Linked DNA regions of Arabidopsis thaliana. The protein of the gene in region 1 interacts with the protein of each later gene in a pairwise test. Each region holds a gene or a part of one and is shown in the gene's direction. Other genes may lie near its edges.

Region 1 (3,348 bases):
TTCTAACACAAGATAGAGTCAAATATTCAAAACGACGAGATGGAGGTTTAAACAGCATAGGCAAACGTGGTCCCTTTCGACCAAAAAAGTAAGTATTTCCCTTCAAAGACACGCTATTGTGACTAAACAGTTCATGCCAATCTATATCAATATCAAGAACCCTCCATGAATCAGAGCTAAAATCGTAAACATCAATAATGACGTTTCTTGGACTCCCCTCATAAAGAAACCTCAAAATTTTGTGGTTACGGTTGTTGTCGTATCCAAGAGCAAACTTGTCATATCTGTGGAGTTTTTTTCTTGGTTGAATCAATTTCGTCTGCCCTAAATACGGATTCCATACCATAACACTCGAGTTGTCTTTGGCGATGCATAACAATAAGCCATCACAGTGATAGACTTGAGATATCTCGACTTGATCAACTTTATTAGGTATACTTATTTGCTTTATAGATAGATCAATCAAATCTTCTTCGCTACGGATTCCTTGAAGATCTAATCTCAAAGAACAAACCCTAGAATCTGTAACCATGAACTCCAAGAACTGATTCTTTGCTGCTGCTTTTTTACCTAAGATGTCATATTTCGATATAGCGTTCCACTTTTTACAAGTAGATCTCACTGCTCTTAGAGATGTCAATGGAACCCTAGAAAATATTTCTCTTACCAAATCATCCGGTAGATCGGTTACTGTCGCCATTCTTCCTCCAAGTTTTCAGCTTTCTCCACAAGTTTAATGTCTCATTGACCTATTCGGTACCCTAATATGTTTGTATATGTGTTTTGGTTGGGCTTGTAATAAAGTTTTGCTTTGGCACAGATTTTTTAAATGGGCCTATTATTTGGAAAAAAATAAACCATCGAATCCTTAACTATATCATATGGTAAAATTACGAAATCGTTTAGCAACTGATTTTCAGTTTTACTTAAAAACTACGAAGCTCTTGATTTAGTTCGTAGAGTGCACCACCACATATTTAGTAATCTCTTTATAGATCAGATGATATGTGACTAACATAAATTTCCAGAGTAGATGAGTGATGACTATATATTAATTGGGAAACTTTGACATCTATCACTTTTACGATTCCATTTCTCAAAATAAACTACTAAAGACTTTTTTTTTAAAAGGATGCAAAAGAATCCTAAGATAGAGTGTTTTGAGAAGTCTATTAGCCCATGGAACTAGAGTTTTAGCTAGCAAAAGCATATAAATTTATGGTTAGAACATCCATGGAAGGTAACTTTGTTTGAGAGTTGTCCTCTCAAAACAACTCTCTTCCTTCATCTTAATAAGAGTATCAATTTCGAATCATAGTGTTCTTGGTGACAACGAAGTAATATTTTCTCTATCAGTACCCTTGCATCATAAAGTTTTAATAATCTATCTAAGTTCTTAGTTTCTATCTTAATAAGTTTGAATCTTTCTTCTTTTGAGATTGCTTACAAAAAAATCATTCAAGAATCAATTTATAAAACCTTATATAACTTTATAAATATTTTCTATAAAATGTATTTAAAGAAATTATAAATCCTTTTGTGGTGTTTTTGAAAAAAAAAATTAGTGATAGTTATGAAATGTATCATAAAAATTGTAGTTTTCAAATTCTTCCTCAAGAATTTGATTATACGGGTTGTTGCTGAACATAGAGATGAACAAAAAGAAGATATGTGTTGAAAACATTGGAATGTTGCCAAAGTCGTCATCCTAACTAAACCAATATACCGAATGATTTATTGTTTTTGTTTTATTATCGAATTAAATACAAAAAGATTACTGTAACTGTTGAACAACCTCTAGTCTTTCTAATATATTCTGATTAATTCAACGTTATAGGTGAGGAAGGTAAGATGTTGGTAAAAGTCATGCATGGAAACAACTTCACAAGACAAAACTTTGATATAAAATAAAGTACATATAATACATGTTGGTGCATTAGTATTACTAAATACAAAGTTGTAGATCCATGGGAGATCAACAAAAAATTCACCCGGTTCTTCAAATGGAAGCCAACAAGACGAAGACAACAACACCAGCTCCCGGAAAGACAGTCTTGCTTCCGGTTCAACGGCCGATTCCGCCTCCTGTTATTCCTAGTAAGAATCGAAATATGTGCTGCAAAATCTTTTGTTGGGTGTTAAGCCTTCTAGTCATTGCATTGATCGCGTTAGCAATTGCGGTTGCGGTTGTATACTTTGTTTTCCACCCTAAACTCCCGAGTTACGAAGTCAACAGTTTACGAGTTACCAACCTTGGAATCAATCTAGACCTCTCTCTTTCCGCGGAGTTTAAAGTCGAGATCACAGCTCGTAATCCCAACGAAAAGATTGGGATTTATTACGAGAAAGGAGGTCATATCGGTGTGTGGTACGACAAGACAAAGCTATGTGAAGGCCCTATACCGAGGTTTTATCAAGGACATCGCAATGTAACTAAACTAAATGTGGCTCTAACGGGAAGAGCGCAATATGGGAACACTGTCTTGGCGGCATTGCAGCAGCAACAACAAACAGGACGTGTACCGTTAGATCTTAAAGTGAATGCACCTGTCGCCATCAAACTCGGAAATCTGAAGATGAAGAAGATTCGGATATTGGGGAGTTGTAAGCTTGTTGTTGATAGTTTATCAACGAACAATAATATCAACATCAAAGCTAGTGATTGCAGTTTTAAGGCCAAACTCTGAGATGTTCTTAGATCTAGGCGCTTTTACTTTTTATTGGTGTTAATTACTCAATTCATCATTTTCTTATGCATTTGATTCATATTTTGGATTAATGGTTTTATTCTCAATAAAAGATTGATTTTTATTTTTTAAATTACGAGAGATTTTTGAAATTTCAAAATATTGCAAATGAATGGTTCTTTTCCGCTTAACATAATTTCTATGAAGTAGTCGGAACGAGACTCTCTTCTAGAGAGAGAGAGAGTCATTCAGGAACCGACGTGCTTACATGGGAAAAAAACCTATTGCGATCTCATGTCTTTTTCCAAGGCAATCGATCCGCACATTAAAACGACGAGAAAGAAAATTAATACTAGAAGAGGGAAAAAAACATACAAGGGAACCAAATGTCGTCATCTCAACTACAAATGTTGGCTACACTGAAAGTTTTTCAATAGAGATAAGATCTTCACGGTCGAAAGCAAAAGAGCAACTCGTAACACCTATCGAGATTATAAATTCTATTGCCCATAGCATGGAATCAACTTCAGCATGAATGGTTTGGTAGTGTGAATCACATCTATACTATTTTTTCAATGGTAAAACTTTCGAAAATTACAATAGAATTGAAATATAAAATTTCGAGAAAATTCAAACGATCTCGAGTTTAATTCATCCCAAG
Region 2 (4,674 bases), on another chromosome or scaffold:
CGGAGATGATTCGACATTTAAAGATATTATTCATATATTTCTTGAAGTTTATGGTAGTCTTCGAGTGTTGAAAATTTCTGCATTTACCAAAAAAAAAAAAACTGTATTAATGTCTACTTGGATTTTTTAAAGTTTAAACTTCCAGTTTATGAAGCATTGGCTTTTCCTATATACTGAATTTTCCTATTCATATTAATTTTTTAAAATTTGTTTTGTTTTAGGTCATGATTCTTAAGATTTTTTTTATTTATTTATTTATTTATAATTAACTGATTTTGTACCGAGCTAACAATAATCCACTAAAATATTTACATTGACCAACCATGATTGTAATCCCAGTAAAAAAATTAGTCATATAGTTAAGTGTCAAGCATAAAACCACCATTAATTGGTTCTTTGAGATATTAATTAATATCCTTTTAAGTAATGAATATGCCGTCTAATATCCGGCTTTGAAAGCTGTATTGTTTTGAGTCTTTCATTTTGAATGATATTTTTATTTGGGTTCATGACTTCTTATCTGTATTCTTCTATATCGAATAACAATAGTAAAAGAAAATTGTGATATTTTATTACGAATAAACTATCAAATCAATTGTAATGCATCCGCTACTTAAAAAATCCAGCTAAGTTAATTCGGTGTCAACTCAGCTTTGCCAAATTTGTCCAATATAGTGGGCAATTTGACATTATCACCCAATCTTTTTACAGGGTAATTTGTGTAAATTCATGATATGTCTTTATGAGAAGGAAAAAGAAAAAGAGAGTTCATGATATGTATAAACGCATGATATATTACAATTAAAGAATAATTTTGATCAGGTTTGAATTTCACTAACCATCATAACTGATTTGACAAAAATAGTATATTCTTAACAAGTTAAAGTAACAAACATCATCACTACTCAAAATTTTATTATCCGAATTAATTTTGTTTAGCAAATCACACTGAAAGATGATTGGAATATATATCGTCAGGGAGGGTTCGCATAACATGCCTACGATACAAAATTAGGCTGTCGGGAATTAAACTCTGTGGCATTCGTCAGATACGTATAAATTCCCTTATTATTTTTATCAAAACATTACTATTATTATTCTATGTAAGAGATATAGGTTCCAGGTGGGGAGAATCATAAAGTGCCAAAAATCTCAACCACGACGTTGGCCAAAAGTTATTTTGTTTTCTTTCCTTCCACATATGATCCGATTCGGATTTCATAATGCGTTTTTCCATTTATAAAATGTGTTATGTGGACATACATTTACTAATTGTTTTTCCAGCTCCTTTCAAGTAATATTTAATTTGGTGGGTTCAATTATATATCTCTTCTTATCTTTTTTCATAAACAGCAAAAGCATAATCGACACGGATCCACTTGTGTTCCTCAATTGAATCTCACTATACCCATTTGTTGGCTAAATGTCATATTCGTTTGCTAACTCTTTTATTTTTTTCTCTTTTTTTTATACAGAAAAATAAAAATAAAATTCAGATAATAATTATTACATTAGTACAATAGAAAATAACTTTTAAATTATATAATGCTATTTTTATTCTTAGCTATTACAATAATATTTCTTTTTTAAGCTTGTTAGTTACAAAACAGCAAAATTAACAGCAAACTTGTTAATTTGGGATAATTTTGACATGTCTTTTTTTTTTTTAAATGTAACCACGGTAACTTGTTTTTCTGTAGTATGAAATAATGTGAAATCTATGGGATATCCAATGGTATTGAATATTGTTGAATCCAGTGAGAAGTACTCAGTTTCCTTGGTTAAAAGTTCAGACTTAAAAGAAACCAAGGACCAAAACCGGAAGCTTAATTTAAAATTTAATAAGTAACAATTGTAGTTGATGTTTCCATCATCATCACGACCACCAATTACTTATATAATTATGTATGCTCCTATAAGAAATCAGAGATAACATCAAAACCATGTTGTATTCTACAAAGCAAGAATAGCATATACAATATACTCTACTATCAAAATTGCATTACTTAGTGGAATCCCTAGAATTCCTCCTAACTCAAAAGTCATATTTTCTTCTTTTTTTAATTCCCATGAAAAATATTACAAAACCCTAAAAACCCTCCTATAAAACCAACCTCAACCCCTCCCACATTTCTCCATCAGCTCTTTCTTACATCATATTCCAATCTATCACTTTATAACAAATTAAAGTCTACGTTGAGATATGGCTTTAAAAACATGGAAGCCATTCATAACTGTTGTTTCTCTACAATTTGGATATGCTGGATTGTCGATCATAGCGAAATTCGCACTGAACCAAGGCATGAGTCCTCACGTTCTAGCGTCGTATCGCCATATCGTCGCTACAATTTTCATTGCTCCATTTGCCTATTTCTTGGATAGGTATAGTATGTCCATTTGGAATATAAAATTGTATAATGGTCATGCATGCATGTATGCTTTTACCTATACGTACGTACTTGTAGAGACTTGTGTCTACGTATTCTTCACGCAGAATATGTTAATCTTCTTTTTCTGATCATGTTACTTTAATTTACTTTTTGAATATCATGAGCAGAAAAATACGGCCGAAGATGACGCTATCCATCTTCTTCAAGATATTGTTGCTTGGGTTATTGGAGTAAGAATTACTATTTTGGTTTTTCATATTTTATTTATTTCTTATATTCCAAATGCTTAATTGAATTTATGTGTTTTATGTTTATAGACCAACAATTGATCAGAACTTATACTACACTGGTATGAAGTACACTTCCGCCACTTTCACAGCTGCAATGACAAATGTTCTTCCTGCCTTTGCCTTTATTATGGCATGGATCTTTAGGTATTAAAAACTTATAATTTAATTTGGTCCAGTTTTGGTTTTTGGTCTAAAGAGATCATTATTATTGTTGTGTAGACTTGAGAAGGTTAACGTCAAGAAAATACACAGCCAAGCCAAGATTCTAGGAACAATTGTGACAGTTGGTGGAGCAATGCTTATGACTGTTGTGAAAGGACCTTTAATTCCTTTGCCTTGGGCTAATCCTCACGACATTCATCAAGACTCATCCAATACCGGAGTCAAACAAGACCTAACCAAAGGCGCAAGCCTCATCGCTATCGGTTGTATCTGCTGGGCCGGTTTTATCAATCTCCAAGTAATTTAAAGACCAATATTTATATATTGTTCAATATATTAGAAACGGTTATATATAGTACTAAACCACTAAAATGATTGTTTATGCAGGCGATCACGCTTAAGTCGTACCCTGTAGAGCTATCCTTGACAGCTTACATATGTTTTTTGGGGTCTATTGAAAGCACTATTGTGGCACTTTTTATTGAAAGAGGAAATCCATCTGCGTGGGCCATCCACTTGGATTCCAAATTACTAGCTGCTGTTTATGGTGTAAGATTAATTAGTTATACTAAAATACAATCGAGGGTTTGATTCCGGTTACATATATAAACAATCAAATAAAATGATCTTATTTTGATTTGATGCAGGGAGTCATATGTTCAGGGATTGGTTACTACGTTCAAGGAGTGATAATGAAAACTCGTGGACCCGTGTTTGTTACTGCCTTCAATCCATTGAGCATGGTCATTGTTGCGATCTTGGGGTCTATAATTCTTGCTGAGGTTATGTTCCTTGGAAGGTACGTAAACTTTCAAAAAGCTCTTGAAAAATCTAATGATTTAATTAGTTTAATCTCATTGATTGAATAATTTTTGTAGGATTCTTGGAGCAATAGTGATAGTTCTTGGACTCTATTCGGTTTTGTGGGGAAAAAGCAAAGACGAACCATCTTCATCATTTTCAGACATGGACAAGGAGCTACCACTTAGTACACCACAAATTGTGCTCCCATCAAAAGCAAATGCAAAAATGGACACAAATGATGCAAGTGTTGTGATCTCGAGGCCTAACACCAATGAATCAGTCTAAAATAAAGAAAAGACTAACGGCGATTATTAAAATATAATAAGAGAAAACAATGAGTGTCCGATTTCTAAACACCGGATCGATCGTTGCTTATTGGTAGAGTGTTATTGTAATGCTAATTTTGGCTTTGTTAAATTTTGTATCCGGCTACAATATATGAAATGTTTTGCACTACTAAAAGTACCTTTACTTAAAATTATATAGTGTTTTGAGTTCTTAATTTATAACACCTCTTCAACCACTTGTGGGTTTCCTACGTATATTTCCAACAGCTGGCCAATAAATCTGCAACAAAAATAATCATGTTTCTTTCTTTGTATACGTAATCTACAAAAAGTTATTGGAAAATAATGCTTTTAGAGCACGAGTATGATGTAATGCGGTAGTGGGTAGTGGAGCATAATGGATCAAATCAAAACTTTTTATGAATTGGGACGTGTTTTAGAGATTCTGCATGTTGCGGTTTCTGGTCGCCACATAAGAAAGCATCTCATTATATAAGAAAGCATCACGTTGTGAGATAGTTTTGTACTTGATGTGACAGCTTTTGTACTTTAGTTACAGAAAGCTTCATACTGAAAGAGCATTGAGTGTATGGTGCTGTTTTGTTCGAATATTCTACGTTAGTCATTTCAAAATCCTATCGGATCACCAATTCACCATCCTACTTGACGTCGGTAAAGTAGAAAGAAAAAGCTTTAGGTCGAGCGAACAATAGAAGAATGAATCAAAAATGAACGAATGAA
Region 3 (4,007 bases), on another chromosome or scaffold:
TTAGAGTGCAATACAAGTAAAGTAGGACAAAATCAAGTGTACAAAATTGATTTGGAAAGGAAATAAATGAGTGACGTGGAAAATATTCATGGTTGGATGAATAAAGTAGGTTGTCTGTTTTTATGACTTTGTTGTCCTTCCAAGGGTACAGACACAAGAGCACACCATGTTTCTTTCATTTCCTCGTTACATAAATTTTATTTCTTTCTCTAACCGAAATTTCTTTTGAATTGATATCTGAATTTATAGCATGCTCTCTAAATTCAACAGCACTAAAAAGAAAAAGAAAAAAAGGAGTAATTAAGATTAACCACAAAAAATGGGAAAATGTTTTGGCTTCGATTTGTATATGATTAGCTCAACATCGAGAGATGATTGTTTTAGTTTAGGGATTTAAGTTCTTTTAATCACTAATGATCAGATATAACTATAATTATACTTACAGCTTAAACCAAAATAATAATTATTATACTTGCAGTTACAGGTTGTATCTACATGCATTTTACGTATTTGGTGGCATAGTTTCTGGAGAGCGTGATATCTTCGTATTGTATAATCCATAATGCTTTTTGATATATATGAAATAAAATAAAACAGAAACCGTGAAAACTCCAAAGTCCAAACTAAGACCTAAATGGAGTAAGAGGCATGCTACGAACGTGCAACCGCAACCTTATTTTACGCAAAAATACAGATAATATCCAAAAAAAACAAAAATATCCAATAATGAGTAGTCACGTGTCTCTCTGCATCTATATTGCATTACGTGATGGACTTAATATTACAAGTGTCATTCTGATTTTGCATATCCCTAATTAATATAAGAGCTGTGTTCACATGTCCCCTGCGGAGTCGTATTAATTCTAAGCCAACTAACTTGTGGAATTCTTATAATACTACTATATAGTTTCGTTTCTTTTGACCATATATGAATTATTATAAGGTTCTGGATAATATAGAATGTTTATAAACATTCTATTCAAACAAAAACAAACAAGCTATGTTTATTGCAGCACTGTTATCGTCTTTCCTAACAAATTTACGAAAAATAATAATATTCTTGTGTAAACATTTCTTGGCAGCTGTACGTATTTGTTTGGAGTTTAACCTATAAACGTATTAGTTGCTTTAATTAATCTTTTTACTTGTAAGAACATATATATATATTTCGAATGTCATCGCATTTACGAAAATATAAAAGTAAAAACTTTTATCTAAGAGCCCTTTTTTCATAAATCTTAGCTTAAGAATTTGACTAATATACCACTAATAATGATGTTCTAAGTATATAGAGAATCTTACTCCTCAGTCACTTCTTGACCATTGTACATTATTTCCATTTGATCTCTGATATACGAATCCAATTAATTCTTAGAGATATAATTATTTACTTACATGTTCTTTATCAGGTTGATTATCATTCTAACAGCTTATAGTTATCTTGTTAAAATGTTCGTACTTTTCTCCATTTAAACCGGTTTGCTTTCTTGACGCCTGAATTCGTTCACGCAAGGAGACAAACTTTTCCGGATTCTATTGCATAAATAAAAAAAACATCGGATTTTGTAACACTTGGCAGCAAAAAAAAAAAAAAACTACTAATGGATATCAGAAAAAGACAGTGTGAAAATAATGATAGCATCACTCATATATCAAAAAAGCAACATAAAGTTGAAAAACAATAATAATCATAAGAATTGGGGAAAATGTCAAAAATGGTATCGATCTGTTTTTAGACTCAACAAGGTAAGCATAAAGAGCAAGGACTCAAGAAATGATTCCAACACCTCCAAATAAAACTTTATTTGTATTGTTTTCTACAATTTTGTTTACATATTTGAAAATGAAACTATGACTTTGGTGTGAAAATGTTTTACATAAATACATGTCACAACTCTCCTCAATTTATGACCTTAACAAAATGCAAAAATACCTTAAGAAGATAGTGGACAAAATTGAAAGCAAAGTGAAAAGCCAATTGATTTGATATAACTTTATAGAATTAAATATAGACAGTTTGAGTTGGTTCGATGACATTTATTTCTCTGCCTCTTTCCCAACGTCCCCCTTCTTTATAAGGCAGAGTAGAGTAATAAGACCGGTCCATGACCCTCACGTGACCTCTCTCACTCTCACGTGCCTCTCTTCTCCTCCGTCATTAATATAAAACAGTTGGGGAATTTATAACTTTCTTCTTCTTCTTCTTCTCTCTCTGTTTCTCTCTGTGCGAGCTCTCTCCTCTCATCAATGGAATCTCTCATCAATCCCAGCCATGGCGGAGGAAACTACGATTCTCACTCTTCTTCTCTCGATAGTCTCAAACCAAGCGTACTAGTCATCATTCTCATTCTCCTCATGACTCTTCTCATCTCCGTTTCCATTTGCTTCCTCCTCCGCTGTCTCAATCGCTGTAGCCACCGCTCCGTTCTCCCTCTTTCATCTTCCTCTTCCGTCGCAACCGTAACTTCCGATTCCCGACGATTCTCTGGACATCGAGTCTCTCCCGAAACAGAACGGTCCTCCGTGCTTGATTCGCTTCCGATTTTCAAATTCTCCTCCGTCACTCGCCGATCTAGCTCCATGAATTCCGGAGATTGCGCCGTTTGTTTGTCGAAATTCGAACCGGAGGATCAGCTCCGTCTTCTTCCTCTCTGTTGTCACGCTTTTCACGCCGATTGTATCGATATCTGGCTAGTCTCTAACCAGACTTGTCCTCTCTGTCGCTCTCCTCTCTTCGCTTCAGAATCTGATCTCATGAAGTCTCTCGCCGTCGTCGGCTCAAACAACGGCGGAGGAGAAAACAGCTTCCGTCTCGAAATCGGATCCATCAGCCGTCGTCGTCAAACACCGATTCCAGAATCCGTTGAGCAGCATCGAACTTACTCAATCGGTTCGTTCGATTACATAGTAGACGACGTAGATTCAGAAATCTCAGAGTCAAATTTCAACCGTGGAAAACAGGAAGACGCGACTACAACAACTGCCACAGCAACGGCGGTTACGACTAATCCGACGTCGTTTGAAGCTAGTTTAGCGGCGGATATAGGTAACGATGGTTCTAGAAGCTGGCTCAAGGATTACGTTGACAGACTCTCACGAGGTATATCGTCGCGTGCAATGTCGTTTAGAAGCTCTGGTAGATTTTTTACTGGGAGTAGTCGTCGGAGTGAGGAATTGACGGTGATGGATTTAGAAGCGAATCATGCCGGAGAAGAGATAAGTGAGCTTTTCCGGTGGCTCTCAGGGGTGTGAGTGACAGGTGAGTTGGTGACATTTGTTCATTCACTTGGAAAAAAAAACAGAGCATTACTTTTGGTTTGTACATATAAACACTATTTGAAGTTCTTTGCTTCAATTACCGATTTTTTTTTTCTTTTTCTGACGATATAACAGATGAATTCTCTAGTTATATATTATTACTTTTAAATGGTCTATTTTCTCTTTTATTATGTCCAGTGTGATTCAACATTGATAGCGAATTTTCATTTGGATAACTTTCTTATTGAATATCAGGAAGAAAAGAAAACTATTAGGTTTATAACACACACAAAAACAAAAAAAAACCAAACCGTATTTAAGAGAACTGGTTTTCAAAGATGAGAAGCAAAAGTTTTTGGGCCAACATAGTTAGCCCAAACTAAATCGAACAAAGCACATAAACTTTTTAAAGAAGCAACAAGAGAAGTCTGTAGAAGAAGTGTTTGGTCCAATAACAAAACACACAAACACAGCAAGAACGAGCGAATCTCCTCAACTTCCCAACCTAATAATAGCTTGCCGTGTCGTGACTCACAGAGTAGGAAGCTAACGTTATCCAATGCTTCGACTTTCATTACAGTACCTAAACCCTTCTTGTCTGCAACACTAATAGCAACTGTGACCTTCGCTGCAAGTTTGACATTACCCGGTGGTTATATTAGTTCTGCTCCAGATTTAGGCATGGCTGCCTGCCTGCATTGGTCAATGAGTTAAATTTTAAGGTATTTCTTTTGTTCAACAGCATTGCA

The links. Proteins that work in one complex are often made in the same cells at the same time.
Region 2: the proteins of AT1G54540 (region 1) and UMAMIT14 interact in a protein complementation assay, tested with the Arabidopsis thaliana proteins (one large-scale study listed by BioGRID).
Region 3: the proteins of AT1G54540 (region 1) and ATL4 interact in a protein complementation assay, tested with the Arabidopsis thaliana proteins (one large-scale study listed by BioGRID).

Annotation. Positions count from the first base shown.
Region 1 is NC_003070.9:20,367,041-20,370,388, reverse strand, and holds AT1G54540 (Late embryogenesis abundant (LEA) hydroxyproline-rich glycoprotein family), read left to right. Parts: upstream 1-1,877; 5' UTR 1,878-1,967; coding exon 1,968-2,687; 3' UTR 2,688-2,836; downstream 2,837-3,348. Other genes in the region: AT1G54550 (F-box and associated interaction domains-containing protein), read right to left, coding at 1-700.
Region 2 is NC_003071.7:16,490,615-16,495,288, reverse strand, and holds UMAMIT14 (nodulin MtN21 /EamA-like transporter family protein), read left to right. Parts: upstream 1-1,945; 5' UTR 1,946-2,203; coding exon 2,204-2,382; intron 2,383-2,557; coding exon 2,558-2,620; intron 2,621-2,707; coding exon 2,708-2,824; intron 2,825-2,899; coding exon 2,900-3,140; intron 3,141-3,229; coding exon 3,230-3,391; intron 3,392-3,489; coding exon 3,490-3,641; intron 3,642-3,720; coding exon 3,721-3,931; 3' UTR 3,932-4,146; downstream 4,147-4,674.
Region 3 is NC_003074.8:22,254,035-22,258,041, reverse strand, and holds ATL4 (TOXICOS EN LEVADURA 4), read left to right. Parts: upstream 1-1,864; 5' UTR 1,865-2,247; coding exon 2,248-3,252; 3' UTR 3,253-3,479; downstream 3,480-4,007. UniProt on the Arabidopsis thaliana protein: E3 ubiquitin-protein ligase able to catalyze polyubiquitination with ubiquitin-conjugating enzyme E2 UBC8 in vitro.